2 linked regions of the Alligator mississippiensis genome follow. The protein of the gene in region 1 interacts with the protein of each later gene in a biochemical or structural test. Links are inferred from orthologs where the notes say so. Each region holds a gene or a part of one and is shown on either strand. Other genes may lie near its edges. The genes, in order: ATR and ATRIP.

Region 1 (15,394 bases):
TATGAGCTCTATGAGACACCCCCTACACACGAAGTGCAAAACTTCATATAGAAGTTATACAAAGAGAACTATTAGAAAGAAAATAATGCATGCTTTATTCCTAACCCAACTCACTACCCCAGATGCATTTCTGAAATGGCTAGCATCTAGATAATCTCCCTTGCACAGATTCTGTACACTCATGTATCATAATGACAAAAGGAAAAGTAGTTTTTCAAATTAACCTACCTCTTGATCTACCTGACTTCCAAGTACATCAACAAAAATTGTGCATATGGTGCCAATATGGGCCTTTCTATCTTGTAAAGCAGATTCATATCCAGCTGGCACAAACTTCAGAAAATATTGCAGTATATGACACAAAGCATCTTTCAGCTTTTCAGACTGGATGTATCTGAGCACATTTGCTTCAAACAATGCACAAAGCTTCTCTAGGAGTATATATAGGTAGATGGGTTCAATTCTTCTATAGGAATCTGCTTCCAAGAGGAACAATGTCCTCACCAAGAGCAGCAAAGGTTCTTCAAAGAGTTCTAAATTTTCAACATCTGTTTCAAGTATTGACTGCAACAATCCAAAGAAGGCCATAAAGAAGGCACTGGCAAGCTGTTCTGGAGGTCCTCCTAGTTGTATTAATTTTACTAAAAAGATCAGGGATAGGGATTTAATTCTTGGACTACCATACTCCAATAGAGAGCAGCCTATTCTCCACAGAATAAGGTCCTGTCTTGCACAAAACAAATCAGGAACAATGTCAGTTAGAATGGTTATTAATGTGAATTCCAAGCATTCAACATTGGGCATGCCCATCAATTGCAATGGGGCTGAGCTTAAATATTCTAAATTATCATTTTTGTTACTTGAAAATCTATTTATTGTTACTGGCCAGACTAACAACCCCCCGTGGAGTTGCCTCTGTCTCTTTCTTTCATGCAAGAAAATTAGATCTTGGAAAAGTTGTAGTAAGTCTCCTGTTAGCACCTCAAAAATGGTACAGCTCTTTGATTTAAAAAGAAAGAGCAAAGAACAGATGACATCACAGATATTCTTGTGTAACGTGTGGCAGTTTGGAGTTGAAGCAAGTCGTAAAAGCCTTGTTATGATCCAATTACTAAATTCTAGGAAGAAAACAAAACAAAAACAATATTGTGATTCATATGCTAAGAAGGTTATGTAAAAACCACTTGGTATAAATGATTCTTCCTTAATTATTGTTTGCTCCTTTAATATGTAACCTTTAAAAATAGAAAAACAAAGAAATATAAGTGGCAGCCTCAGAACACTGTACTATGCTATAAAGAACTCTTGTCCTCGGCATTCATCTCAAACCGCAACTGATGGCTGACCGTTCTTTACAGCACAGGTCCCCTCCTCTATTGTGACTGCTCAAAGTCATTGCCTGCTCTTATGCAAGTGACTAACCTTGTTACCATACATACACCTGTTTCAAACTGTTAATCTGTGTTCCACTCCTTTCCCTCTATCGTAGGCATACAGGGGTTTCCTGATAGCTTTCCCAGGTGAGATTTTTAAAAAGTGTGAAAAGGAAGGCATGAATTCTAACTGAAGAGATTATTTTTTGGTCAGGAGACCTGACCTGCCTTACTTTGTCCTTGGGCTTCCTTGGTCTACCATATTTTATGGTACTTGCCAAAATCCAAAAGAAAAACAGAAAGTTACCATGTCATTTAGGATTCGACCCAGATGGGAGCTGGTTTGTATTTTAATGGTTAAACGATCCAGAAATCTGTCAAAAAATCTGATGAAGAAATCCAAAAATCTGTCCTTGGATATGTACTGACCTATTTTCATTTGCACAAGTCTAACATGTTTACAGTGACAGGCCATCAGAGATTCATTTCACTGACAACATACAGTACAAACACATGAAAGAGAACAGATATGGAGATAAAGGAAGTCTGTGTAATGAGCTGACCTTAATATATGTTAGGCAATGGGTTGGCAACACTTTACGGGGGGTTGCTCTGTTAGAGCTTAGCTCCAGGAGTAGTATTACTTCCAACCCAGGTCACACAACCACCATTGAAACTGCAGTCACCACTCTCTCTTACGGTGCAACCACTGCCATTTCTTCCCACTGCCTGGTTGCCATATGGGCAAAGCCCTGCCATCAACAAAGACCCCCAGCTCCATAGGCCAGATAAAATGGCTCCAAAGCTGTACCCAGCCCATGGGTCATAGGTTGCTGATTCCTGTGTTAGACTACTTCTTGTAATTAAAGTACGCCAAAAAACTCCAAACAAACAAAAAAACCGAACTCACCTATGCAACTGCACTCAGCCTCTGGGAGATTTTCACTTACACTTACAAACATAAGCGGAGAAGATTTCATGATGTGTTGAATAAAATCAAGCAGCATCACAGAACTTGGCAGAGAATCATTTTTCTTAGCAAGTTCCAAAGCAACTTAAAAAAAAAGATAAACATTCCCATTAATACTATACCATAGAAATGTAATTATTTTAATAATTCTTCAGATAAAATAAACACTTTCCTTATGGAAACTTGTATTGTAACCTCTACAAGTCACAACACTTTTTATCTTAGAGGTACCCTGATACATTGGTCCATATCGTATCAGCACCAATAAAAGGAAAATCGATGTTCTCGGCAATTGGCTTTTATTGACTGCTAATGTGCGACTCCAAGTGATGCGAATAAGTGACTTGGTGTGAATGAGTAAGAGTAATTTTTATACAAACTGCTAAATTTGCCTGAGTTATCCATACATTATGCAATAAACCTCGGTTTGCCAAACCCACGTGTTGATCATATAGCCAACACTACCAAGAGGGCTTCGGTTTCTGTGACCACAGTGCACACTTCAGGGAGAGAGGACTCCTGGGAAAGGATGACATCCACCTCACATGGAGAGGTAAGTCCCTGTTCTTGGCCACGATGACCAAGCTTCTAGACAGGGCTTTAGATCAGTGGGACATGGTGAAACACTGGGGAGCGGCACACAAGTAAGCTCCAAAGTTGGGGACACTAGGACAGCCACTCTTCCAAGAGCTGAGGGAATGGTTCTCCCTCAGCATGACAGGAAATCAAGGGTCTCAATTGGAGGACTCAGGTGCCTGTACACTAATGCCAGGAGCATTGGAAACAAGCAGGAAGAGCTAGCCCTCCTACTCTCCAGTGGGCATTATGATCTAGTAGGGATTATGGAGACCTGGTGGGACTTCTCACATGATTGGAACATAGCCATACAGGGCTACAACCTGCACAGAAAGGACTGAGTAGGGAAGAAAGGTGGAGGTGTAGCTGTCTATGTGAGGGAGCAGTACACCTCCTTAGACGCCAACATTGGCTCCAAAGAAGAGCGGCTCAAAACCCTCTTGGTCAAACTACCGGGGGGGTGGGCATGGTAAGAGAGACCTGACTGTTGGTATATACTACAGACCACCAAACCAGGAGGAGGAGCTCAAACTGCAGTTCTCTCAAGAACTGGCAGAGGCCACGCATGCACGGGACATGGCCATTATGGGTGACTGCAATTACCCAGACATCTCTTGGGAGGAGCACTCAGCTAAGTTGGATAAGTCACCTGTATCGAAGAGCTCTACCTGACTCAGGAAGTACACAGGCCAACCAGAGGTAAAACTCTCCTAGATTTGGTCATGGCCAAAGGAGATGATCTGGTGAGTGCCTTGAATATAGAGGGTAACCTGGGTGACAGCGACCACAAACCCATCACATTCACTGTCCATCGCAAGGCAGGCAAATCAGCTAGCAGGGTCAAAGTTTTGGACATCAAAAAAGAACTTCAGCAGGCTCAGGGCAACAGTAGGGGAAGTGCTGCAGGATCAGGGACCGAAGGTGAAAGGAGTGCATGAAGAGTAGTTGTTCCTCAAGGACACAATCCTCGAAGCACACAAGAAGTCCATTCCCATGCAGAGGAAAGGTAGCAGAAGGGTTGGTAAGCCCCCTTGGCTTAATACGGATATCATCATGGTCCTCTTGAAAAAGAAGAAAGAGGCATACAAACAACAGAAGCTTGGGACAGTCTCTAAGGAGGACTATACAACAACGGCCTGCATTTGTAGGAAGCAGGTTAGAAAGTCCAAGGCAGAGACTGAATTTAAACTAGCTACAGAAATCAAGAACAATAAGAAGTCCTTCTTTAGGTATGTAGGGAACAGGAGGAAAACAAATGGAAGTGTGTGACAACTCAGGACAGCTAGTTGCTGACACTCAGGAGAAAATTGAACTCCTGAATCACTACTTTGCTTCAGTATTTCACTGGACTAAGGGGAATATCATACTAGATAAGGTTCAGAATGGGCATGGTGGGAATGACCGCCTTCCTACTGTTGACACTGAGCCGGTACGTGATCAGTCAGAAAAGCTAGACATTTATAAGTCAACAGGACCAAATGAACTTAATCGGAGAGTGCTGAAGGAGCTGGTGGAAGTCATTGCGGGACCTCTGGCGAAACTCTTCCAAAACTCGTGGTGCTCAGGGGAGGTACCTGAAGACTGGAAAAGGGACAATGTTGTGCCCATTTTCAAGAAGGGGAGGAGAGAGGACCCAGGCAACTATAGGCCAATTAGCCTAACTTCTATCCCAAGGAAAATCCTAGAAAAATTCTTCAAGGAGTCTATGTGCAATGGCTTTGTTGTGAGCAGGTCTTGTCTTAACAATCTCATCTCTTTCTACAACCAGGTAACTCGCCACCTAAGTAAAAGAGAGGAGGTTGACACTGTTTACCTAGACTTCCAAAAGGCCTTTGATCTACTTTCCCACAATGGTCTCACAGGGAAATTGGAGGATTATGGGCTTAACTGTTTGACAGTTAGGTGGGTAGGAAGCTGGCTGCGGGGTAAGACCTATAGAGTTCTAATGAATGGATCTGTGTCGCCTCAGTGAGAAGTGGTCAGTGGTGTCCCTCAGGGGTCCGTGCTTGGTCCAGTGTTTTTCAACATCTTTATCAATGATTTGGATGTCGGGGTGACGAGCTCACTGACCAAGTTCGCAGACGACACCAAGTTATTGGGTAGCATGGTCACACTTCAAAATAGGCTGCAGATACAGGCAGACCTAGACAGGCTGGCAAATTGGGCGGATCGGAACCAGATGAAATTAAACTTCGAGAAGTGTAAAGTGCTCCATCTGGGGATGAATAATCCCCAACATACTACTTACAAGCTCGGTGGTGCTCAACTGACTAGCACCCAGAGCTGTCCCTAGGGGTGTGTGGGGCCTGGGGCATATCAGCCTGTGTGGGGGTGCGGTGGAGTGGCTGGACCGCGGAGCAGGCAGCGCGCAGAGGCCGCAGAAGGGCCTGTACAGCAGCCACCCCACTTGCCCACCCCTAGGGACAGCCCTGCTAGCACCACGACTGAAACTATAACTATTATTACCTAGGGGTAATAATAGAACATAGTATAAACATGAGCCATCAGTGTGCTGCTGTAGCCAGCAGGGAAAACAATACTCTGCCATGCATCAACTAGAAATCTTCAAGAGACTGGATAATCACCTCGTTGGGGTCACCTGACCCCAGCTGTCTTTCCTGCCTAATGCAGGGGGGCTGGACCCAATGATCTTGTGAGGTCCCTTCCAGCTCCTAACAATCTATGAATCTATGCCTGCCTGCCCACTCCCTGTATCTCCACTGCTCCCTCCACTGCCTGCCCCATTACTGCACCCCTACCACCTGCCCTACACGTTCCCCTTCACTGTCTGCCCCATTACTGTCGCCTCATTGCCTGTCCCCTTGTCACCTGCAGGGGTGGGGGCGTGAATTTAAGATGATTCCCCAATAATTAGATTCTATACAGGGAAAACTATAATAAATGTATACATTTTCCACAGAGAATTATTGGGGGGTCTCTTAAATTCAAGGTCATTTTGGATTCAGGTAAATATATAACTTGTTGCAGCTCTTGGAGAGGCAGCAGTCACTTGATCCACCACCAAATTTCTAGCTCACAGGCAGCCCCATGGGCCAGATGACAGCTCCCTGCTCTGTATCCAGCATATGGGGTTGGAAATTTGGTATCAAGACAAGCCACAGCAATTAATCTTGCCACTGCTCACTCTTACTAACTTTCTAATTACATGGGACACATGACATGGTTCCACTGATGGCATGTAGCCTGCAGTGGCTCCACTGATGGCATGTAGCCTGCAGGCTGGATCTTTTGACACCTCTGATTTAGCAAGGGCTACAATAAGTTACAACAGCATTCTAAAATTAAAAACTAAAGATGCCAAAATAAGAACTCAATCCTGCAAAATGTTCAAATAAGGAATGGCAGGATTTATTTCTTCAGCGAACAGAGCACATTTATGATGCAGCCTCCTTGCTTTTTAATACATCATTATATGTGTATGTACATATATTCGCACATGCACACATGCAGTGCTGTAGCAAAGGGCTGGAGGCAAATGGGGTGACTGCCCTGGGTGCCAAACCGAAGGGGCGCCAACAGGATGGAGTTGCGAACAGCTCATTTGGGGAGGCGTGGGGACGGGAAAGGGTGGCTCCCCCACCACCGCATGCACTCCCAGACAAACACTGATGAGGGGAACGTGTGTCCCACCCTGCCCCCTGCAAGCTGTGCGAAGGATAAGGGCGAGCTGTTGCTGTGGGTTTGCCCCAGGAGCCAAACTTCCTTGCCACAGCACTGCATACACATGCACAGATGTGCATGTAGATCAGGGGTGGGCAAAATGCAGCCCGCCGGGTCATTTTATCAGGACCACGGGGTCCCTAAAACATTTAGAAAATAAATATTTATCTGCCCCTGGCTGCTTGTCATGTGGCCCTCAATGGCTTGCCAAAACTCAGTAAGCCCTCAGCCCGAAATAATTGCCCACCCTTGATGAAGATCTATGGACACGCACAAGCATATGCACAAGCACAGGCATGTGCAAAAGCATACACAAGTATGCACACATGCAGGCACACACAAGCACTTACACTAGCATTTATTTAGACAGTTGTAGTTCACTCAACTCTACTGGTGTTCCTAGAAACCCTGTCATTATACAAATAAACTGCTTCAGGTCTGCTAAGCCTTTGCTGGGAGAAGACCCACAGGTTTGTTCCCAACCAAGGGAGCTTCGCCCCACTCTCGGCAGCGGGGGGTGCGCCCTGAAGCCCCGTTTCCCTTACCCAGGTCCACATCCGTGAGGATCCTGTCAACGAACTGGCCGAGGATCTGCCTGGGCTTCTGCACCACGCTGGGGTAGTCCTCGGGCCCGGCGCTGCGGGGGAAGAAGGGGCGCGTCAGCACCACCCGGTGCCCGAGCCGGCTTTCAGGCTGGGAAACATCGGTGCCTCCCTGAGCCCGGCCACAGCGCCGCTTCCCCGGCCTGTCCCGCCGCGGACACGGCGCTGCGCTGCTCCGCGCGGGTACCGCTGTGGCCCGGCCGCTCGGGGCGCTCATGGCACAGAGCAGTGGACCCAGGTGCCCGCCCGGCCGCACCTACCTGCCCAGGTCGCGCAGCGCCGGGATCATAGAGGCCATGCCTAGCCCCGGCTCCGCCATCGCGCCCAGCGCGCCACTGCTCGCGGGGGCGGGGGCGGGGCCAGCGCTCGGGACGGCGGCCGGCGCGGACCAACACGCCTCGGTTGGCGCGCTGCACGAGCACAAGCGACTTCCCGTGGGGCAGCGGAGCATCACGAAAGCCACGCGCCAGCTCCGCGCGCGCGCGACGCCGGGGCCGGGGAGTCCGGGCTATGGGCGGGTTGCAGGGCGCCCCGTGGGGGTTTAGGCAGCTCAAGAGGTCCCGGCTGAGCGGGAGCAGGTCCCGGTCACCCCGGGGGCTCTGGGCGGCGCAGCCGGCCCCACGCGCGGCACCGGCCAGAAGTAACTAGGAGGGGCTGGGGCCGGGGCAGCTCCGCACGTGGCAGGGGGGCAGGCTCTCAGCAACTTAAGGCCCGGGGGCTCTAGGTGTCTCAGCAGGTGCCGACAGGCGGCTCCACGCCCAGCCCCGCGAGGGGCGCTGAGCTCCCCACTAGTCCCCGGGAACGCAGGAGCCCTGGTGCCTCCGCATGCGAGGGGCGGGGCGGGGCAGGGGCAGGGCGGTGGGAGCCCCAGGGAGATGAAGGCGGTGCTCGCTGTCCCCATCGCCGCCGGCAGCAGCGGGACCCGGCAGCCCCCGAGCGGCCCGCCCACCCCAGCGCGATTGGCGCTGGCAGCTGCCTGTCCGGGGGATGCGGCGGCGCCCACAGCAGGTGTCTGCTGGATCCCGGCAACTCTTGGTGCAGCCGCCGCCGCCGAAGAGGCTCCGCGGACGGGGCCGGGGCCGGGGCCGGGGCCGGAGCAGCTGCGGGCAGAGGTAGGGACGGGCAGAGGCTGGGCAGCGGGGAGCGGGCTGCGCTTGTCGCCCCTTCACTTGCCTGATGAGATGCGTCCGCGGGGGTTCCCGTGGCGGGGGCAGGATCTTGTGGCACGGATCAACTTCTCCAGTCTCTTCTCTGTGCCCAGGCGGGCGCTGCTCTTCCCGGGAGGCTCTTTTAATGTAGTATGTGCGAAAACTAGAGGCCGCTTTTAAAAAGTGCAGTTCATTCTTCGGAAGACAAGCTGTACTAGGTAAGGCGGGAGAGGGGATAAAGTGCTGGAAAAGCAGTGGCCCAACAGTCCTGTCAGACATCTCCCCCCGACAACCTCCTCCCTCATGCCAGGGGGAAAATTAAAGACACTTTTTATGAAAGGCAGTAGGACATGACTGAGACTGTGAAGCTCTTGCACCTCTTGCCTTTCCGTATGTAAACAGTTTTTCCAGACTTCAGGAAATACACAGAAAACTATTTATTTGTATGTGTCTACTGATGTCTACATATTCTCCTGGATGTTACTGTCTAAAGGGAAGTGACCTGACTTGGGCTTTCTTTATTGAGGAGGGCAGTTGATTGTGTTTGTTTTATGAAGTCTTGCCTGCATTGTTGACAGTGTTGCAGAGAAGCACACACTGAAATAAAATCCTCTCTGTGGCTTCTGTTTCTGGTGCCTGTTTCCACAGCTATGATGCTTTGAATTTTGCATGTAAAACAGATGAGGAAATTGAGCGAGCATGCCTGTGTTCCAGTTATTGAATTGTTAGTGATGGTTACCAGTTCTTTTTTTTTTTTTTATTCAAAAGTGGTTGCACTCAGTTACATGCATGCCTATATTCGTACATCTGAATTTAACTCTCTGTTTGTCGAGTATTTTCAAAGCCCTAGTGATACCATGATAAGGAACTGTGACATTTCAAAAGATTTTGAAACACTTAATTAGGATTAATCTTCATTTGTTTCTCTTTCCTTTTTGCTACTTATTGAACATATTAGATGTTAACTCTTGAGAGCCGCTCCCAGTCAGCAAACAGGAGACGCAGGCTTCATGGTGTCTGCGTTACATAGATTTATAGTCATAGATGTTTGGGTCGGAAGGGACCTTAGCAGATCATTGAGTCCGACCCCTGCCCTGGGCAGAAAAGAGTGCTGGAGTCAGACAACCACAGCCAGGTGTATGTCTAGCCTCCTCTTAAAGACACCTAAGGTAAGGGAGAGCACTACCTCCCTTGAAAGCCATTCCAGTTTTTGCCAACCCTTACCGTAAAGAAGTTCTTCCTGATGTCTAACCTAAATCTGCTCTCCGTCAATTTGTGGCCGTTGTTCCTAGTTAGCTCAAGGGGTGCCCTGGTAACCAGAGCATCTCCTATTCCCTGCTGTCCCCCCCCCCCCCGATGAATTTGTAGGTGGCCACAAGATCACCTCTCAGCCTTCTGTTGTTGAGGTTGAAGACCCAGGGCCCCCAGTTTCTCCTCGTAGGGCTTTGCCTGCAGGCCCCTAACCATGTGAGTGGCCCTCCTCTGACCCCTCTCCAGGTTATCCACATCCCTTTTGAAGTGTGGCACCCAAAACTGGACAGAATACTCCAACTGCAGCCTGACCAATGGCACTTTATGGCATGGGAAGACCAGAAGTCAGAATGAACACGTCTGGAATTACAGTGGCAGATCCTTCATGCACATAGTGCTGCAGAATTTAAACTTTATTTAATTAAAAGTCCAACAGCTTTCTAGCCTTTATATTTGTAAAGAATACAAACTGTCTTGGTAAGTCTGCAGAAAGCAGAAGTAATCACTTATGAATTGTACTGTTGTGCTATACCTGTGACAGACAGACAGTTTTATTTGTCAGTATTGTTAACATTGTAATAGTTGATGGTAACTTTAGGAGAAACTTTAAGCTATCTGGAGATTCCAGGAGTTTGGCCCAGTACTGGGGTTTTTTATTGCTATTCTAATTGTAAACCAAAATGGGAGAATGGCACAAATGTTTTGGGTCATATGATTCTCTTCTCCAAGTACACTATACATGGAATACAATTCAGACACCTAGTCTGTATGGCATAATGCAGTGCTGTACAGGAACCCAAGCTAGCTCTTAAACTTCTAATGATCAAAAGCCTCATTACCACCTTTTTCAAGCCCTATTGGTAAATATGTTTGTGCTTACTTTGCCCGTCTGTTAAAAAATCTCTAAAGGCTACTAATGGCATGAGATCTTGCTTAAGCTGGTACTCAAATTCCAGTGTGGTACCTGAAGTAGAGAAAAATTCTAGAGGTTCCCCATGTCTTTTTACAGGCCCCCAAAAGCCAGACCCATTCCTGCTTCAGTATCCAGTAGAGGGAGCTGTTCAGGGAAAGAAGTATACGTTCTGACTTCCAACAAAAAAAAAACCTTTAAGAATAACCAAGAGCAAACAGACAATGAGCAGGATAATAATTTATTTTGGTCGAGGATAATTTCTTCCATTTTCCTTTGCCACGTTGCTTCCTGCTCCCCTGTTTCCCTTTTCCCAGGTCCTTCTCCTTGTCTTTCCATATAATTTCTCCTTTTCCTACTTTGTCCTATTTTTCACCTTGTTTTGTTTCTTCTTCATTCCATTGTCTCACACTTTTGTGCCCCATGTTCTTTCTTTCTGTCTGAAGAACTATGACCCAAATGGATGCACAAAAGGAGGAAGTGCATTGTGGCTGAACACACAGTTCAAATTTTTCTTCTCCTAGTGAAAATATATCCATTCATATCTGTGTAGTGAGTGTTATCCTTATTGTTTTGTACCTCCCATATGTCCACAACCCTCATCCAGTGTCAGTGTGGATTTGTGCAGGTAGCAAAAACTGTGTGAGATTGGAGAATCAGTGTATGCACAAACGTAAAGCTTCCTGCCAGAATCAACAAGTTGTATACACTAAGAACTGTTCTCTTCCCCCTCATTTCTCATTTGCATAAGGGCCAAAGAGCTGATCCCTTGATCCTCTGTCTTCTATCCCATGCTGTCCTATTGCCCTTCCTGCCGTATGCTTAACAGTATCTTAGAGTGAACTGGGTGACATTTTAATTAAGTTAATTTTGACTTGGAGCAAAAGAGCGACAGCTGGGGTCTACTCTAGTCTAGTCATTTGGTTGTGAGCTGGTTATGAGAGAAACTTGGAGTGTTGATCCACACCAGAATCATTTTCTCGGTTTTGTTAATATGGGTTCAGTGCTGACAAAGGTGGTCCTGAAAAGTGGGCATTCTGGAGCTATATGAAGAGGACCAACCACACCAAGACAGTTGCTGTACTATCACTGCTGCCTTTACCAGAAAATTTTCACTTCTCTTTAAAGTCAGAGTAACTTGGATGTCATTGTTCAAAATGTCAGTCAGGATGGTGGAATGAATAGTCATGCACTGCAATAAGTTAATTTTTATTGATACTAAGGCTGTCCTTATAACTTATTGGTTGTTTGCTCTGGTGCTTTAACTGTACCTGATAGCCTGTATGATAACTGAGGATTTAATTCCATATATGGTCATGAAGGTGCTAACCTAGTTGGCAGAATGGTTGATAGACCTTTGAACACATTGGCTTGGATATTATTCTGTACATCATAAAAATATCTGTTCAAGGAAAACTCAGCTCTTTTTCAGTGCCACCTGGTCTGAGTAGAACAAAGTAACACAGATTTAAATGGCAGAAGGGTTTGATCATTAAAATAAATCCAACTCTTGTAGAATCATTTTGATAATTTAAAACACAATATAATAAATTAAGAATTATTTTGAAGAAATAATTTAAAAAATGTAACTTGAGTAAGCATCTCGACTGGCAAACAGAATGCAGGTTGGTACAAATTCAACTACAGGACAAAATAGAATAGGTAACAGTAAGGAAAATATAAAATATTGAGATCTAGTGAAAGGTGTTTCCTATCCCCTTTACCCTTTACATTCATATGCTGTCTGTATAGGCCTTCATTATGCAAATAGGGACAATCTGTTCTTTAGCATGTTTGTAACTTTGCATGATGAATGCATTAGATTAAATTATTTGGGATTGGATTCTCTCTTACCTATATGGAAAATGCCTAGCACCTGTTTTGGTTTCTATATCATAATTTGAATAACTTAACATTAAAAAAGATGTATAAAGGGTATTTGAATTATAGTAGAAAACATCATGTTTGCAGAAGAATAACAGGCATGCCTAAATCCTGTGAGCCATAGAAAAGGTTTCCATGTTGTCACTTTATAGCTCAGTACAGAAGGCATGATTGGGAAGGAAAAGGCACGGTATCATAGCCTTTCAATACCATAGATCTTATTGGCTTAATGTTCAACTAGGAGCCACATGAAGGTGAGAAATGTATGCAATAGCTATTAGCTATGAATTAGAGGAGTGGATTTCACCTTCCCCGACTTTCTGCATTTCTTCACCATGAAGTCCCAAAGCATGGTCTTTACAGCATTTTTTAAAAGCTATTGAGGAAAATGTTATGCAGGAATGATCACAAATTACAGTATTGTCAAAGGGAATACAAGACCTGGGGCATAGGAGGCATCTTGTTACAATATTGAAAGTGATAAAGTCATTTTAAAGCAATATATTAAATGTGATGTAGAGGTATACAAAGATGTCTTAGCCTTGCCTCATCTCCATATATTTAGCACCCAGATCAGGTATGAGTACATGGTACTCAAACCTACCTTTTTATAGCAGTGACTAATTAAAATATTTTTCACAAAACTCACAAATGCATGTGAAATTCTTTTAATTCTTGACAGTAAAAGTTCATATAAAAAACAGATAGTGCTTAGGTCTAAATAAATGGGTTTATCAAATACAGAACAAAATGGCACTGGGTGGTACCCATATGTAGAATAATTTGATTCCAGAAAACAGAATAACCACAATTATAGGAATTATAGTATCTTGACTTATAATAAGGAACAATTCATTGGACTTAGTACTAAAGAAAGAAATCTGATCAAGTACCCCATGCCACTGGAGTATAAAAGGATTGGGGGAGGCTTAATAAAGCCATCCCTGATGGTATACTATATCATCGTACTATATCATCAGTCTATATCAACCTTGAGGTTCGTCCACTGCACACCCGGCCAATGTTAGATACTTTTTGAAGTAAGGAATTTTGGAAAAGGATATTAGTGGCTCGGGGGGGAGAGGGGTGCAGGAAAAAATAAATATAAAAAAGCAGTAATTAGTGATAGCCAGGTCAAGTTACATATGCATTGGGAGTTGTTCAGTTATTGATATAAACAATTCTGTATAGTGACTATACAACATTGTAATCCGTTACGTCACTTTTATTAAAAGACCTTTTAGATGTAATTCACCTACTTGTATAGAAGGTTGTAGAATCAAACATTTAATAAAGGGGACTTCTCTTTTTCTATCCTCTCCTATAGTTTGTGTGTGATATTATTTATCACTATTTACATAGTTTGATCTTTGATTCATTGACCCAGTTTCATTAAATTTATTAAAACAATCCCTGCATCAGATGCTACCTTTATTTTCTATATACTTGGTTTTGTTATTAATGGTAAATTAAAATTGTTGGATTAGTTCCTGGACTTCGGAGGGTTCTAAATTATTCTACTTGTGTAGATGCTTCTAAAGGGAATCAAGATGATACCTTACAACAGCACATCTGTGAGAGTGCCACAGATTCATTTGCAGCCTTGCTAAACCTCAGTAATATAGTATTAATAAAGCAAACAACGTGTGTATGTCTGTATGATAGGGAGAGGATAACTAATTTTCATATGGCATTCTTTTATATATGTTTTCTTATGGAAGGCAGTTATTAGCCAAGGATGTCACTTCCAGTCTCAAAGTTATCCTAATAATTACTTTAAAATTAGCTAACCCCTTTCTCTTGTTACAGGAATCGATAAATTTCAGATTAGATTTGGAGTCACCCCCTAATAAACCTTTGACTTGAGACACAGCTGTGTTTACCCAGCCTTTATATTATCAGGAAGACTGTATTTGTTTAAATGCTAATTTAAAGGATTTCTGGCACCCTGAGCTGCAGAACTGAGTTGTTTCTGATAAGCAGATTTTAAATAGTTAGCAGGGACTTCATTATGTTTCACAATTTATCTTAGCTGGTCAGTGGCATAGGAAATTTTTTCAGAGTTGCATCCTATAAGTAACTGCTAGCAAAGGGAACTGAGGGTTCCTTTGATGATATCCAGAGCAGGACGAGTTTTCATTTTTAAATGCATCTAATAGGAAAAGCTACAATACTTTCAAGGCTTACAAAAGTGCTTAACGGATCCATGTTTATTCAATACAGTTGTACAAACTGCTAGCCAAATTCTTCACAAAGTTTCTTCTTTGTAATCCAAATCTGGCCCAGTGCTAGTTAGTTGCAAGACTAAATTGCAATTAAAATGTATGATTTTTCTTTGTAAAGAACAATTTCTGGGTTGTTTTTGTAGACTCCTTCCCCATAATTATCATTTGACTGATTGATTTCCCCCCTCCCCCTTCACAGCTGGTGAAAAGCTTGTTACATTGCCAAGTGTTTTTTTCCCCCCAGACTGAATTGTTTGTAGATGTAATCCAGTTATTTTCGTTTTTGTATCAAACTCCTTTTCCTGCTAGTTCTAAAAAGTTCCCTTTTGAGCTCCAATTCTCTCCTCTTTTCCATTTTTTGTGCATCATTCAAAAATACCTCCTTGTAGTAGCCTGCCTCCATATGACAAAGGGATATGATGCCTTTCCTGACATTGCCCAAAGGAGGTCAAGAGAGAAACAGGGTGGCTCTCTAGCAAGGGGATAGTTTCTGCTTCTTCAGTCCTTGCCAGCGTGGCACATGGAATTGTATTCAGAATCTGGAGTCTGAAAACATCAGCACATTTAGAGCTAAATGATGGTCCTGTTGAAGTTTATGGGAATTTTGCCTTTGACTTCAGTGGGGTCAGGATTTTGACCTTAACATTACATTTTGTCTACGTTTCTTTAGCAATAACGACTGCTTTCTGCCTAAGTGTGTAGATGGAAGAAATAAAGTGCAACTCTGCTTAAGTTATTATCTTTCAACTTAATGAATAAAAATTATTATTTATG
Region 2 (16,072 bases), on another chromosome or scaffold:
CAGAAAGCTGCCTGCCACTCCAAGCTCCCCGCTGCCCTGGCCACGCTTACCCTGCAGATGGGGGCAGCAGCAAGGGGTTCAACCCTGCGTGCTGCCCACACTGCTCCCGTGCACACAGGGGAAGTGTGACCTGGGCAGCAAGGAGCTTGTAGCAGCAGTCAGCCCCTCTGTGCACCCCCTCTGTACACTGCCACTGTGTCGCACACGCTGCGCTCAGGAGGGCCCAGGTGAGGGCAGCACAGCAATGAGCATCACCGGTATCTGCTGCCTTCCCAGAGCCTAGGGCTGGGTCTGGGGCCAGAAGGCAGCTAAGGCAGGGACTGGGGCAGGGAGGCAGCAGCTGGTCCAGGTTCTGGGCAGCTGCTGATAGCCACAGAGCCTGGGCTGGGGTGCAAGGGGCAGCAGAGCATCCTGCCATGTACCCCCTGCCCTCATTTTGTTTTTCTGGCATGCCAGCACTCTGGCACCTTCCAAGGTAGGCATTGTGGGGAGTTTTCAGCACTCTTGCCAAAAAACACTGCCTACCCCTGCGCTAAGGCCATGGAAAACTAAACAATTATTCCATTTTAATGAAGCCATGAAATTTATCACAGAAGAGATCAGACAGATACAATGGTAGGTAGATCTAAACCACCCATATCATTCTGAAGTAAATCACTGCAAAACAGACAAGCCAGTTACAACAAATACGTGCTCACAAGAACTAAACTCCACCCCTCCCATGTCATCTCTTCCCCTTGTCAGTGGTATATCTGTTTATGCCCATTTTCCACCACTTGGTAAATAGAGCAGTGCAGTCTGAGTCAGGGGAGGAATTTGATATGTGTTCCCAATTTCCTCTATATACTTTCCTCTGTATTCTCCTCTCTTCCTTTCATAAAGCTGTAGGACTAGCTACATCTTTTCACTCTACAGAAAGATGCCATAGATGGGTACAGTGCGGGTGTTCTGGTCAGAGAATAAACATCTTATTAGAGCATCTCTCTAGGTCTGGAATATAATAGATATTATTTTACGTAATGCCCTGGAAAACTGAATTGTATGATTAAAATGGCAAACAATTCAGAACTGTAGCCAAATTATTATTTGAATAAACTTAAAACAAGTTTTTAAAAATTTTAAAACCCCTAAAATTCACAGTTAAAACTAGATAATGTTTTGCTAGTTCTTTAGTTTTGAAACAGCTGCTAACTATAACAAGGCTTTATGCTTTTCAGATTTCAGTATGCCCATTCATACTTGTAGTAGATTTGAAATGTTGGCACCATAGTGGTGCAGGAAATGTATGAGGCAAGGATTTTTAATGACATCTGTTATTGGACAAACTATATAGCTGGGAGAGCTGTTAGACAATCTTTCATCAAGTACCCCTCCTCAGGTCAATAAACACATCACTATAAATCCTTGCCTCTCTTACATACCTGCTCACTTGAGGTATTTGTTATGCACTGATAAGAGAGAGACTGTTGCAGTGTTATCATCATCATCATTATTATTAACAACTTTTGCATCTGAAGAGAGCCATGGATTCTCCATCTGCATGAGTCTCCTGATGTCAATGGTGTTACACCAGCAGTAATTTCCCATAACATTCACTCTATTTAAATAACACACAAGTTTTCTACCTTACAAAAACTACTCAATACCTGACAGTTGAAACTGACGAAGCAACAGACTTAATCCTTTCACAGTTCTGAAGCTTTGTCCTCAATTCATTCATTTCAGCATCTTTAAACTGCAATTGTGATTGCAAGGACTGTAACTGAAAAAAATAAAATGAGACTCATCTTACAATAAACACCACACAACTTGGAAGAATGACATATTCCAAATATCTATGGTATTCCAAGACAACAATGCAACTAACTGCAATCTATGAAAAAAAAAAAATCCGTCAAACCTCTCCTATACAATTCAAAGTGACAGTTATATAAGGGCATATGTAGTACAGAAAATATCAGAATAATAAAGCAGGTTCACCATGACGGTTATAAGCAACAACTGTCACCAAGTGAGACTGCTTCAGTAAGGACCTTACTCATGGAGTAAACAGCAGCCACTATCACCACCACCTTCTGCAGGGCACTGGAGAAAAACTGAGAACGTAAGAAACAGAAATTGGATAATAGAATCATAGATTCTGTGCTCTTAAATTTTTCCATTATAAGGCTGCCATTCTGGGTGCCCACATTAATCACTTAAGTTTTGCTCATGTACAGTGTAGTTTCACTCAGAAAAACCTCCCCTTTTTCACATAATTCAGTGATCTAGTTTTAGCTATAAATAATTTTGCAGTATAAAGAACATGTACCGGATTAGAGGAAAAGTTAGTCTACATGTCCTTCCCTTGACTTCACAATGACTGTGGCTTCAGCAACATATTAAGTAATCAGTAAAGAAAACAGCTTTTCCATGCAAACTGTTAGATAGCTGAAGCAGTTGTCCTTCACAGACCTTTTTGGAAAACTCTCTCTCTTTTTCGTTCAGGGTCTGGGTTTTCTCCTTTTCCAGTAACATATTTGATCTTCTCTGTTCCTCCATGGTAGACTCCAACTGCTGCATTGAGTCCCGCAAAACTTTAATTTCTCCATTTTTAAAAATGATTTCATCCTGCATTTCTTTCAGCTGCAAATATCAAACACACTCTATTACAGCATACCTTTAAGAAACATGGATGTATACCACTATGGATTAATTAAGTCAAAAAAGGGTCATCCCAGAAGGCTGCAACATCAAAACATTATGAACAGGAGACATTAGTATAGCCTATTTAAAATTCCTGGTGAAAAACCTCTTACACTGTTCAGATAAGCCAAACTGCTATTTCAGTACAGCTTCTAACTATCAAGCCCAAACTCAGTCTATGTTAGTAGATCTTGAAAATGACTAGTCACTAGGTCAGGGGAAGGCAAAATACGGCCCACAGAATGCATCTGGCCCACCAGGCACTTTCACTCAGCCCATGGCGCCCCCCAATGAATTGTGCTCCATCCTTGTGAGCAGAAGGGCCTGGCTTGGCGAGCAGCAGCTTCTGGGCAGGGCTCCTGCTGCAGCTGCTCCATGGGAACATGCTTGGCTTCCCAGATGCCCAGCTCACTGGGTAGCAGGTAGGGAAGTGGCAGGGCCGGGCAAGGGTGAGGAGAGGTGGAGTGGCAGCTGGATGGAAGCACAGAGCACAATGTGGAGCTCAGCTAGGCAGTGTGGGTGTGAGGTAGAGTGGGGGTTGTAGGGACACCCCCACACACACTCCCCCACTACTGGCAGCGGCAGCAGGTGGGGGAGGGGGTTCAGGGTGCTCATGCGCAGCACAGGTGTTAGCACCCGGCATGGCATAGCTCCAGCTAGCACTGCGCGCAAGGGCAAGGAGTGCAGCCTGCCCAGCTGCTCTGCGCTATGTGCCTGCAGCTCCCCCAACTGGCACTGGGGGTAGCCGCGTGCTAGAGCTGGCTGCTTTCTCTGCAACCTGCTGCACAGGTCCTTGGACTCCTCTGGGAGTGGAAGGAGTATTGCCCCTTGTTTCCCCACAGAGTCCAGTGCAGGGCTTCCCCAGTGCGAGTGCAGAAGCTGCAGGTGTACCATGCTGAGCCAGAGGCAGCTGGACAGGCTGCGCTAATGGACCCCATGCACGTAGCGCTGGCTGGAGCCATGCTCCACTGGGTGCCAGCCTGTGCCAGGTATGAGCATCCTCAGCCCACTCCCCACCCCCCATCCGCCTGCTGCTGCTGGCAGCATGGGCTGCATGCCATGGGATGTTCCCACACCCCACAAACCTCACACACCCACACCCTACCCCCACTGACATATACATACACCCAAATATACTCTATGTCCCCCACACAAATCCCCCTACACCCTCCATCTTACCACACACACACACAATGTAAGAGCGAGACTTTATTTCTGAGTTACTATGCAATCCCTTCTATATACATTACACAAACACAAATCATAGCAAATATTTTTTGTAATAAAATTAAAATATGTTATAGCAGGTGTTTGACTTCTAGTGTATGGTTTGGTTTCTTTCTGATTCCAAGATAGTACCACCCCCACCGTCCCAAAAGGAGTACTGGGGGGGGGGAGGGGAAAGAGGTAACAGGATGGATTTCCAGTGGCAAAGGTCAGGAGTTAGGGGGTGAGACCTTTGCTCCCAATATGGCAACCAGGGGGTGGGACAATTGTTAAGGGATGGGGCTACCCATGCAGCCCCTGACAACTCATCAAAACTTGTTAAGCAGCCCTCCAGCCAAAAAATTGCCCACCCCTGTACTAGGTCTATCAAAACACAGACTGGGTCCCCCTGACACCTCTTATACTCTTCTCAGATTATTCTTCCCCCTGTAATAATATGTCTTTCCTTGGTTAAGCATTCAATGCACAAAGGGAAATGTAGTTTATATCCTCTGCTGGGTTCATCCTGCCCTAGTAACATGCAGATAGCTGCAATAAGGCAGTCAAGCAGCTCTCATCAACTCATCTTAGAACAGACACAGCAAGTAGTGCACTGTCCCAAGAATTATGCTACATAGGGAGTCTCATGGCAATTACCATGCATCCACTTCTGACTCACATTCTCTCTCAAACATATAATGAGGTAAATACACAGACAAATTTATGGCATCAGATCATGGCATTGATCTCAAGCCCTGAACTTAAGCAAAACAGATATTTTCTGAATGACAAGGGACAGGTAAGAAATATGGATTTAATGGGAAACAACATAACAGAGCTGCCAACTAATATTTGATTCTCTGTTTTCTACTGTAAAAGGGCTGGACTGAAACTCATGATTAATTAGTGCCTTGTAGTTTCATGTTATATCGGAAACTCAAGATATTGATACCTCTCAGCACAATTTGGCTCCAATGTATTTTACAAAGGGTGGCCCTTCTACCCTTGTGAATAATGTAATGAAATTAAAAAGATCTTCAGTTAAAACTTAAAGAAGACTCAAAACTACTTTAAAAATGCTGTACTGAATGGTACAAAAAACAATTAGGAAAAAGAAAGAAAAGTATCTAACCTTTTCCTTAAGGTTTTCATGTTGTGTTTGCAGTACTTCAAATTGAAATGTGTCTTTAACCAGAATATCTTCTGTGCCATTTCCTACTGAAAAAGAGGAAGTAATACTAATTTCACTCTGAAGTAATATAGGTTATAAAATGTTAATATCACAATATTTTTATATTCATCATCATACATATTAATATTTTAGTCCTGAAGTTCATACTTACAGTTTCCATGGTTACTTTACTAAAACATGCATATAGGCTCACAAGAACACACAGAAATACTGGAAGTTGTAAAATTAAATCAGATTTTGAAATTGTTTCTTTTGCTATTTATACCACAATATACTTTATCAAATACAACAAAAGATGTCTAGAAACAAAAGTGTGTATATACTATCTCACTTTCAGCTGCATGTGTCTGTAATCCAAACACACAATAAGTGTGTGAATAGATTGTGTGAAAGCCTGATTCCACCAGATTTCTAAATTCATGCAGTCATTTCTCTTGGTTTTACTTTTGTTAAAATTTTTTCCCCTGATCTCACCATGAAATACACTATACCCAAATGTTGAACCAAATTCAATAGATATGATCTTTTGGATAGGTAGCCCATATTCCTACCACAGAGAAAAAACTCAGAATACCAAATATTCTCTATGGTCTTCCTCCACCCCATTTAAAATATGAAGTGGATGCAAATTTAGGCTGTAAACCTGCAACTAGATGCATGCACTACCACAGGATCTATTTACAAGACACAAGGATTGAGAAACTACATTAAAAATGCAAGTATGCAATCCAATTAAGGTCATTTTGCCTAGCAACTTCAAACTAGCCTTCTTCAGCTGTAACTAGTCAGTCATTTACCATACAGTTATTCGTTGCACATTTCAATGCTGTTTACTAAGTCCAACAAAAACTATACACACAGAACAAATAAAACATAACCAGGCAGCACAGTTGTCAGGAAGAGGGATGGAGAAAGATGAAGCACAGACCAGCATGCTGCTGCTCAGAGAGATGCCCTAAAACCTGTCATATCTGGGTTGAACAGTCAAGAACACAGATTCTTCTAGTCCTCCCTGAAATACTTTACCTACAGAAAAAAATAAGAGGAATTCAAGGTACTGTACCTACTTTGAAAGGATGAAGGGCTGATTTAACACTTGCACAGCACCCCCAGGCACCCTTGAAATTATCTCAAGACACCTTTGTAGAGAATTACTGGCTTAATTCCTTAGATGGAAGACGTTACATACACAAAGCAGGTACTTATTATAGTAAAGCATTACCATGCCACACACACTTGGCATAATGGCTTCCCTCAAGCTTTTTTCTTTACGTCACAGCATGACTGAACCATACATTTTGTAGTGCTTTCTATCTAGCCGATTGTTTACTTGCAGGCGACAACTCCAAAAATTGTACCATCGAGTTACCCAAACACACACACAAAGAAAGAGAAAGCACCGGAAGAGATTTCCCAACCGATGAAAAACATTTTTCCCTTGTGTCCTGATATTTAAGAACGGCTTCATTGATTTAAATGAAACTGTCAACAGTAACATTTACTACTGAGCTGAAATTAAAGAATGAGACTATTCCACGGCCTATTTCCTTTCAGACACCTTCAGTAGCCCAGCTAGAATGGATTTATCAGCTCTGCCTTATCACCCCACGTCTGGGAACGAAGACGTGGGGTGCCAATTGCCCCGCCACAGGCCCACGTACTGGCTTGCACATACCAAGCCCGGCTTTGGCATTTTGTTCAGCGCTGGAAGCATCGTTCCACGGTCTAACGTTCACAGACTTCTGATGGATGATGTTTAGCATTAAGGACGGCCTGACATCCTGCTCCGGTTTCTTAACGTTTGTACTAGGAAGGGTATTTGAGTCCCGGCCTTGTGACAGTGCCTGGGAGGCAATTATATCAATTTCTTCCAAGTCAGCAGCAGTGAAGTCATCATTATCACCAAAGAGATCTTCTGCCTTCTGGGCCATCCCCACATCAACACTTTTGTAGCGCTTGTTGGGTGGGAAGCCGACCCCGGCGGTAGCCCCCTGCCAGGTGGAAGGTGACGAGAGAACCTGCGTCGGATCCACCCCGTAGAGGAAGGCGCCGCTCCGCTTCTTGTTTCCAGACGAGCGGCTCAAGGCCATGCTGTCCCGGCACCTGCCTGCAGAGCCAACGCTCGGCGCAGCCTGCCACAGACGCGGAGCCGCAGGACAAGGGCCGCTGAGCGTCGGGCAGCGGCCGCGCCGCAGGAGCCCGGCGGGGCCCAGCCTCGCAGACTGGACGGGGCTCAGAGTGCTGGCTCCTGCCAGTCGGGACAGGTAGCCCGGGATGCGTCGTGTGCGCCCTCGGCCAAGTCACGGCCCCTCCGCAGGCAGACGGTCGGGGAGCGCTGCTCCCCTGGAGCAGAACCAGCCACCGCTGCCAGCACTGGAGCAGCTTCCCGACCCGCGCAATACGCGAGACCCGCCAGCCAGCACAGCCAATCGGCGACCATTTCTTCTCGTTGACCAATCAGAGAAGCCCCAGGCAGAATCACTCCGGCCGGGACCTGCAGAGGTCAAACAACAGCAGTCTGGGAAATGTTAGTAATAAAAGTCTTTACGATTGGCAGTTAGAAGCGGCTTTGTGAGGCTGTCCCTGATTGGCAACGGCATCTCATGAAAGGAAGCGAGGCTTCCAGCACTTTTTGGCGCCCTTAAGCGCTGCGCCAGATGGGCCGGGCCGGGCCGGGCCGCGCCGCGCCGCGCCGCTTGTGGTTTAAGCACGGAGCTCTTATACCCCAGCAGCCGCGGCACGGCGGCCTGCCCCTGGCGAAGCCTCCGCTCGCAGCCTCTTTCGTATGAGCTATGGTAGCTTATGTGAGTTGGGCAATGCCGGGCGCTGCCGTGTCGCCTTCTGCAGAGGGGCGGGTGGGCCTCGGCCTCTGCTTCTCTTGTGGGCCCGGGACTGCCAGGTGCACTGGCCGGTGCATACTCGGGACCGGGCAAAGCCTGAGCTGGGGGTGTATGTGCTGAAGCTGGGCTGCATTTAAATCATGAGCAGTGGCCTGAAAAAGAATAAGAATCTGTTTATCAAGCCCCTAGTGCTAGGCTGGGCCAGGAATGAACTGTTTTTTTGTGAGAAGTGTAACAGGAGCAAGGAAGAACCAGCGATGTTTTGCCTTGTGATGATGATGGAGTTGTTTGTAGTCTGCTGGAATCCTCCTGCAATAACAATATGTCTTTGTGACCCTGTTGTTAGCCTCAGCTGCTTTCAAGGGACTTATGCTAGGTTGCAGAAGTGTGGCTAAAGGAGGCCACAAAGCTTCTCTAGGATTGGATGTCTGCAGAGGTTTCAACTGGCATAGTCAGCAAAGTAAAAGAGCACAAGGTGGCAAGTAGTGCTCCCACATGATGAGAGAGAGACCAGAAGTTGTCTCCCAAAACTGCACCTCTTACAGGGACCCAGACCCCAGCTAGTTGGCATCTTCCAAGTCCACACAATAACACCAGCCAGAATATTTAAATGAGCAATGTATACATATTGGGTATAAACAGAAATTTTAGGAAAGACCTCAGCAAGTTCAAGACTGCCTGCTGCAAGCCTGCATGGCACCTTCCTCTTCCTCCCGGCATCTCCCCCCAGTATAGAAGATAAGGCTATTGTGCAGTTGCAGGTAGGTAGATAGGCATAGAGATAATTGCTTACCTTATGCTTTGGGGTGTAATGAATAAAAGGTTGGATTATAGAAGCATCTGTTGTCTCTTGTTCTAACTAGGGTGGTAGTAATACCATACCTGGTAAAAAGGAATGTGAGATAATTGGGAAGTCAGATTGTATCTTGATTTGGTATAAAAAAAGGTAATCTCTAAGGGACTTGTAACTGTTCCTGAATTCTGTGTCTAAGCTTGTAAAGAAGTCCTGATCATAGACGGGCTGTAGTCTCGTCTCTCTCAAACAATCAAACAGTACTGGGTTTTTGATAACAATCTGCTTTCTTCCTTACACCTCCCGGCAGCCTTCAAAGGATTTGGTGGCATCACAAAGTGTCCCAGTCCCCTGTTTGAGAATCACTGCCTTAGCAGGTAACATCACAGCCTAAGCAATATCATGGTGCTGTGACAGCTAATTTAGCAGAGCACATTGGAATGTCCTGCCATTGTGTCCTGATGTTTCAGTACCATGATGTAGTGTCATGATACTGCATTGCCTTGGTACAATACAGTAATGAATGGCAATGTTGCAGTGACACCATAGGTGCCGAGTACATTGGGGCCCAAGGGCCCTGGCCCCCATTGAGAAGAGGGTAGGGTAACCGCCCATCCCTAATTGGGCAGGACAGTCCTGAAATGGGAACATCAAGTCCCAGTCCTCAGCTACATGACTCAGGGGCAGCATTTATCCCAGATTCCCAGTATTGTACAGGGATCTGAGTTTTCATTTCACTGTGGAAAAACATGGAAAACAGCAGGTTTTCCCTTGCAGGCTGGCAGAGTTCCAGCCTGCGGGGGGCTGTGGGGTGAGACTCAAGGGGGTCCACATGCATGTGACCAGGAATACAGCCCCAGGCAACAGTGGAGAGCAGCTTCCCCCAGCTGCCTGCGGGGAAGTCTGTGGGGTGGGAGTGGAACAGACTGAGGCCCCCACAGTGAGGGAGGGGCTGGGCGTAGGGGAACTGCCTGGCCAGGGGTGTTGTCCAGCCAGGGCAATACCTGGGGCCTGGGGCAGGGAGTGAGAGAGCCAGGGGTGGCTCATCACTGGGGAGAAAGGGGTGCTTTCTGCTGCTGATGCACTCCTGAGGAAGGAAGAATGTGGGGGGCACATACCCCCCCAGATTTGTGCATGAGGCAGGGGTGGATGCAGCCTGGCCGCTGCAGCTTTGGGGCTCCCGCCCTACTGCCTTCCCCCCAGGAGCCCCACACTGGCCACACCACTGTGGTGAGGCACCCCCTGCCTGCCCAGCAGCAGCAGCCAAAGTAGTGGCACAGAGTTGTGCCCCCTGGTGCTGATGAGCTGGCAGGGGGCACCTCGTCATGTTGGTGCGGCTGGCATGGAGCTCCTGTGAGGAAGGCAGCAGGGTGGGCAGCTGCAAGCTGACAGTGGGCCGTCCTCATCTGTCCCTGGTCCCCCACAGACTGCTCACCTCTGCTTCAGCCATGCCATTATGGGAGAGGGAGCATCATCTTAAGCCCCTGCCTAGCAAAAATAAAAGTTGGAGCCTAGGAATGTCACAATAGTTAGTATTTTGAGTATTTGTTGACCAGTGTCTTGTGTCAACTCATTTTGTGGTGGGATGCACTTAACAGTATACTTCAGTGGTAAGTGTGCAGTGAAGGGTACACCATTGTTGTTATTGTATAATTTTCTATAAGTATGATTTCACACCATGAATGACACAGTGGTGTAATGGTGGAAATCGGGGCTTGGCTCATTTAGTTGTATGTTAAGTAGGTCAGCAGATGACCTTTATCTGACCCACCCTCAAGAGGCCCTGGAATATGCTGTGGGCACACCCATGTGCCGTTTGTAGAGCCCTGGCGTGCCAGGTGCACTACCCTTATAAAGGGCTTTAATGGACAGAAATGGTGTGAGGTGTGTGTGTGTGTGTGTGTGTGATTGGAGTCTGACTGAGTGTTTTGGACTGAAAGAAGTCAGGGTGCTTGTTGGCAGGAAAGAGAGAGAGAGAGAGAGAGAGAGAGAGAGACACACACGGAGAGGCTGAGTGACGGATCCACTGTGTGAGCCGCGGAGGTTCCTGGGCCCAGTCGCCATGGGAGATCCTTTGTTTGCTACCAGAGCAGAAAGGGTTGGCTCCCCAGGCTCTTCCCTCCAGGTGTGTAAGTAGCAGCCCTCTGCTCTGATCCGTAATCATTACCCTATTCTGTTCTTCTCTTCTGGGTTATTGGGGTTCTTCTTGGTGCGTGTCTGAAGAAGATTAGAAGCCACTGCCTGAGGTGCAGTCATCTCTACCCCAGTGACCGGAGCAGAACTAAATAAAGTTCCCCTGTCCCTTATAATAAAGTTTAGTCCTTTTTATTGTCGTTGTTGTGATAAGATATTGTTGGGTTAGGATTTGTATAGAAGACTAAGTATATTTCTGTGACTAACCTGTTCTTGTTAGTTTTATAATAAACTGTCTTGTTTGTATACTTTTAACAATTCTCTGAGTTATTTATTTAATAAAAGTGGTGATTAGATATGCTTTGGGCAAAGAACTACCCCACCTTTCAGAGGGTTAATTGACAGAGAACCGCTGTTTGGGCAGGGTTAGATAATTGGAGACTAAATTGATAATTAACTCCCAACAGTAGGATGTTTGTCATTAACTGTAATTAATTATTTATATTCCTATTGAACCAGTTATGGACCAGGACCCCATCCTAGGTGCTGTATGAATTGCACCTGTATTATCTTGCATTTCTAGTAATTTCCTCTGCTGCCTTTGCAATTCTCTACAGTGATTTAGAGGCCTATACATGTTAGGCTTTCCATCTCAACAGCCTCTATCAAACATGATTAGTACGTGTGCCCCAAGGTTCTGAGATGGGTATCCCTGTCCATTTGTCACCCCCCAAACCCTCAAGGTACCTGTGGTGACCTCCAAAGTGTCCTTGGGGATGATCCTCATTTGTGCTGTTCTGGGACTCTCTCCTTTCTTTTTCATGTCTTGCAATCTCTGAATTGTCAACCATACACCTTAGCACCCACACCACACCAGCCCTTGGGATTCTCCCTGGATAGTTGAGGGTTGGTTAGAGAGTGTTGGACCATGGTGGTCTCCCAGTTGCTGATGATCCAAACAATCTTCCCTATTTTGCAGTCCTCCACCTCTTTCAAAGACACAACCCTCTTAAGTGATGGCCAAGCACTGTACGCTGCATTGGGAAATAGCCCATCATGCTATGCTCTCCTACTGCTGGAGAAGATAGTGCTGTCTTGACCTTGTCAACTGTAATGGCAATGTGACTTACATGACATGATCACACCCCGGAGAAAGGCAATACTTTTCAGTGCCAGAGCAAAGTTGCATTAGTACATCCTGAAGAAGTTGGAGTACCTCACTGGAAACTAGGTGATGATAAGATGTTAAAATAGACTCCTTCCTGGAGTGACAGTCTGGTGGTGGAAGTGGTGAGGCAGGAGTAGTTGTGCTCCCATAGCCAGTAAGAAGGAATGATACTTTTCTAGGATTCCCTCAGTTGTTTCTCCTGAATAGACAAAATATTCCTTTTTCACAGCCCTTTCATGAATGAACTGAATAGCTTCTAAATGCTGGGAGCTAGAAGGTAGGGGTGTCAAACTTGTTTGCCCCCCACCAAGCCAGAGCTGAACTGTGGGACTCCTTGTGAGCTGGATCCAGCTGGTGGTGAACCAAGGAGCTGCGGGGGTTAACATACCCTCTCTGCTGTCATGCACCCATGATGCTAAAGGATCACTAAAGCATAATCAACCCAGAGCAAACACAGAATATGTCTCACACCATTCAACTTAACTAAGATCTAACTTTATTAATGCATTAAATGTACTAATAGTTTCTACACAGAGACAGAAAAATACTTAGTTCAGTGGTGTCTCAGAATCCCAGATGTTATTCCACTTCACAAAAAGGTGGCCAATCAGTTCCTGAAAGTAGAGGCTGGTCATCTATGGGTACTGACTGTTTTTTAGTCCAGATGTTGTTGGACAACAACACACACCCAACTTCCTTGTCCCATGTAAAAGGGAATCCTAGCCCTGTTACTAGGAGGCAGGGCTGCCCCTTTAAGACCTGAGTCTATAGGAACACCAAGCACCAGGAGGGTAGGGGTTAATAGCCCAACCACCTAAACTGGTCAGCGGACAGGAAGGGGATAGACCTCTGGGCACATATAAACCCCAAGGCCAAGGCTGACAGAAGGAAGTCTCTGGCAAGTAGCCAAGGGAAGAGAGCTCCTGCATGGCAGAACTATCCAGGAATGTGTGGCTGCTGGCTGAACTGTTGCTATGGTAATGAGGCTCCAGGACTCTACAACGTACCCAGAGCTGGGAGGTACTCAATACTCAAGGGGCAGTTTGGGGGTTTTAAGGAGCCAGAATATGGCTTGTAGGACTTCTATTATGTCCTAATGTGTCCAGGGGGCATAGAGACAGGGAAGACTCCACTGCCAAGGGGCACACTGACAGGGGGTGGGCAGACCCCAGCACCAGGGGGGTGCAGCACCAAGGGGCGTGGCAACAGGGATCGAGCAGACCCAGAGCCCTAGGGCCCAGGTCAACATTTATATACCATCTGTGAGGTGTGGGCCACTGTGTAGGGGAGGTCTGGAGCACTGGATATTGACCCCTAGGGTTGGGGTAGTAAATGGGCATCCTCCCACCTAAGTAACATCATAATTATTGTTCCATCAAGGCATGGCAGGTGAGAGGGGGGTGGGTAGCCTAGGGACAGAGGGCTAGGCCTATGTTAGACAGGCCCAGGGATGGACCTCATCACACCCCCCTTTTACGCTTTTTCTTTAACTTGACTCCTCTGATGACTCTTCATTTCCAGGTAACATTGATTGGTTTCCCTGTGATCATCCTACTGTTCATGTTTTTATCCTGTCAGCATATTCCTTTGTCCCAACAAACCCATCATATGCACATATCTTAATTTGGTCTTTTACCAGTGTCTTAATTCGGGCATGCCCTGGACTCGTAATTCGGTCTGTCTATCAACTCCAGAAATCCCAGGGGCTCTGCAGTTGGGTACTCTCCAATTGGTCCCCCCTTATCACCTTTCATTAACATATCCAATCATGTCATCCCTCTATTTTAGTTGGTTAGTGCCAAGTTTAGTTAGTCTGAGCTAGTAACAAGGCTCATAATATACACACCTATGTTGATAACTCTGGAACATAAGCTGCCTGTAAAAGCAAGATCAAGGGTAGCTGATAGTACTAACATGAGCAAAAGAAAAGCTCAAATAATAATGAGGTTATACAGAAACTTAAGCAATGGCTAAATAAAGCTGAATATAAAAGAAAAGTTCAAATAATACTATAATTAACTATTCAAGCAGGTTCAACTAAAGCTAAATATGACAAGCTACCCTAACACTGTACCCCAAAATTCATTGGCCAGCCCTGCCTCCCCTCATGCTTACCCCATCCACAAATTCCTGTCCCCTCCAGGAGCTCTTTGGGCTAGATGACACAGCTCCATGCCTGGATCTGGCCTGTGGGCCATGTTTAACACCCCTGATGTAAGCAAAGCAGGGCAAGTAACATCTCAGTCCAGATAGGCCCTGCATATATACTCTTCCCCCTTAGCAATCCACTCTCTGACACTGAAGAACAGGGAACTAGGCTAGATGGACCTGTGGTCTGTCCCTGTATGGTAAAACAACTACACATTTGGATAAGTGCACTTTTGTAAGTAGGGATTTACCAAAATGACAATCTTGCAATTTTCACAGAAACCACGATTTCAGGCAGGCCCTACAAAAAAGCACAGCATTGCTGCGTACAAAAAAAATAAAAATAAAACAGTTGCAAGTAGAGAAAAGAGTGGGAAACCCTTGTGCCCTGAAGCATGGGGTGGGAGGGAAGAGGAGGGAGAGGGAAAAAACAGAGGCTGAGCCCCTGATGTAGGCTCAGTTCAGGAGCCAATCAGATGAAGCGGGAGGGTTTTGATGCCAGCTGTTAAAGTGCCCACAGTTATGCTCCTGCAGCATGCATACTCCTGTCTGAGGAGGATTCTTATTCAGCTTGTCTGCTAAAAAGAAATCCTCTAAGATGGCCAACTACATTTCAGCACCGAACCTTTCAAGGCAGTATCCTGCAGGGACCTTGCACATAGATGGAGACAGATTCTTCTGTACCTCCTGCAATGTAATTTTGGATGTGTCCAGGAAAACCAGCATATTTCAGCACTTGGAGTCCAAGGCACACATGAAAAGGAAGGCTGCTACAGAGGCTGAATGTCAGAGCAAGAAGCTAGAGACTATGTCCTCCCTGTTTAAAAGGACCACAGAAAGCATCTTGGCAAGGTGAGAGGTGCTTTCAGAACCACTCTAATTAAAGTGTCCTCACCCCTTGCTCCCAAAGCACATCTATAAACTCCCATAGAAAATTAGGGTAGGAAGGGAACTCAGGAGGTCACCAATCCAACCTCCTAACTCAAAGCAGGACCATCCCCAACTAGATCATCCAAGCCAATGCTTTGTCTAGCTGGGCCTTAAAAATCTCCAAGGATGGAGAGTCTACAACCCCTCCAGGTAACCTGTTTCAGTGTTTTACTATCCTCCTAGTAAGAAAGTTTTTCCTAATAACTAACCTAAACTTCCTCTGATGGGCTCCAAGGAATGCTACTGAACGCTGGTTATGTCATCTGCAATGTGCACACTCTGTCTTTAATAAGTGACATCTGGTGCACGCAGTTCCCCGAGGTGGATAGCCTGGTATATTCTTTCAGGAAAGCTTTCAAGCCCTGTTCAGGTCATAAGGTCTGGTACAAGGAGTCCATCACCAGTCAAAGTGAGGACTCACATGACACTGTGCTGCTGCCACCAGAGCCTGTGTTCACACAGTGCAATTCATGTTTCAACACAGTCCATTACCACACCAAGCACATGGAGTACTACCAGCAGTTTGAGAGTGAGGAGCTGTAAATCACACCCAGCACACAGTGCATGCTTAAGCTTCGCAATCTCTTAAGATGAGGCAACTTTTAAGATCAAGTGATGTTTGTGGCTGACAATGCCATGTGGTTAATGAAGCTACTGATGTGGTTTGAAGGCCAGCAGGCTGTGATCCACCACACACAGAGGGGGATGGATTTGATAAACTGGGTTGAAGATGGCATTGCAAGAATTGTCCAGCTGTCCTCATAAAAACTAGTGCAGAAGGGATCTGTTCCAGGCACGAGCTGTGAGGCTGAATCAGTACTATAGGTACAACCCATCACTGCCACAACAGTTCAGAAAACCAGCTGCACCCTTCCTTAGTGATGTTCACATTTTGGACACCAACCAGGTGTCTGCTAAGTTTTGACCATCATCTACTGAAAGCAACCCCGAGATGGGGGAAACAACATGGCAATGAA

The links.
Region 2: the proteins of ATR (region 1) and ATRIP form a complex in vitro, tested with the Homo sapiens proteins (4 studies listed by BioGRID and IntAct, with this or other methods). The link is inferred for Alligator mississippiensis from reciprocal best matches to the Homo sapiens genes ATR and ATRIP.

What each region holds. Positions count from the first base shown.
Region 1 is NC_081830.1:56,492,199-56,507,592, forward strand, and holds the start of ATR (serine/threonine-protein kinase ATR), read right to left. Parts: upstream 7,570-15,394; 5' UTR 7,522-7,569; coding exon 7,463-7,521; intron 7,238-7,462; coding exon 7,146-7,237; intron 2,428-7,145; coding exon 2,284-2,427; intron 1,119-2,283; coding exon 229-1,118; intron 1-228. UniProt on the Homo sapiens protein: Serine/threonine protein kinase which activates checkpoint signaling upon genotoxic stresses such as ionizing radiation (IR), ultraviolet light (UV), or DNA replication stalling, thereby acting as a DNA damage sensor.
Region 2 is NC_081835.1:37,254,178-37,270,249, reverse strand, and holds the start of ATRIP (ATR-interacting protein), read right to left. Parts: upstream 7,582-16,072; 5' UTR 7,174-7,581; coding exon 6,759-7,173; intron 5,110-6,758; coding exon 5,024-5,109; intron 2,626-5,023; coding exon 2,455-2,625; intron 1,763-2,454; coding exon 1,647-1,762; intron 1-1,646. UniProt on the Homo sapiens protein: Required for checkpoint signaling after DNA damage. Required for ATR expression, possibly by stabilizing the protein.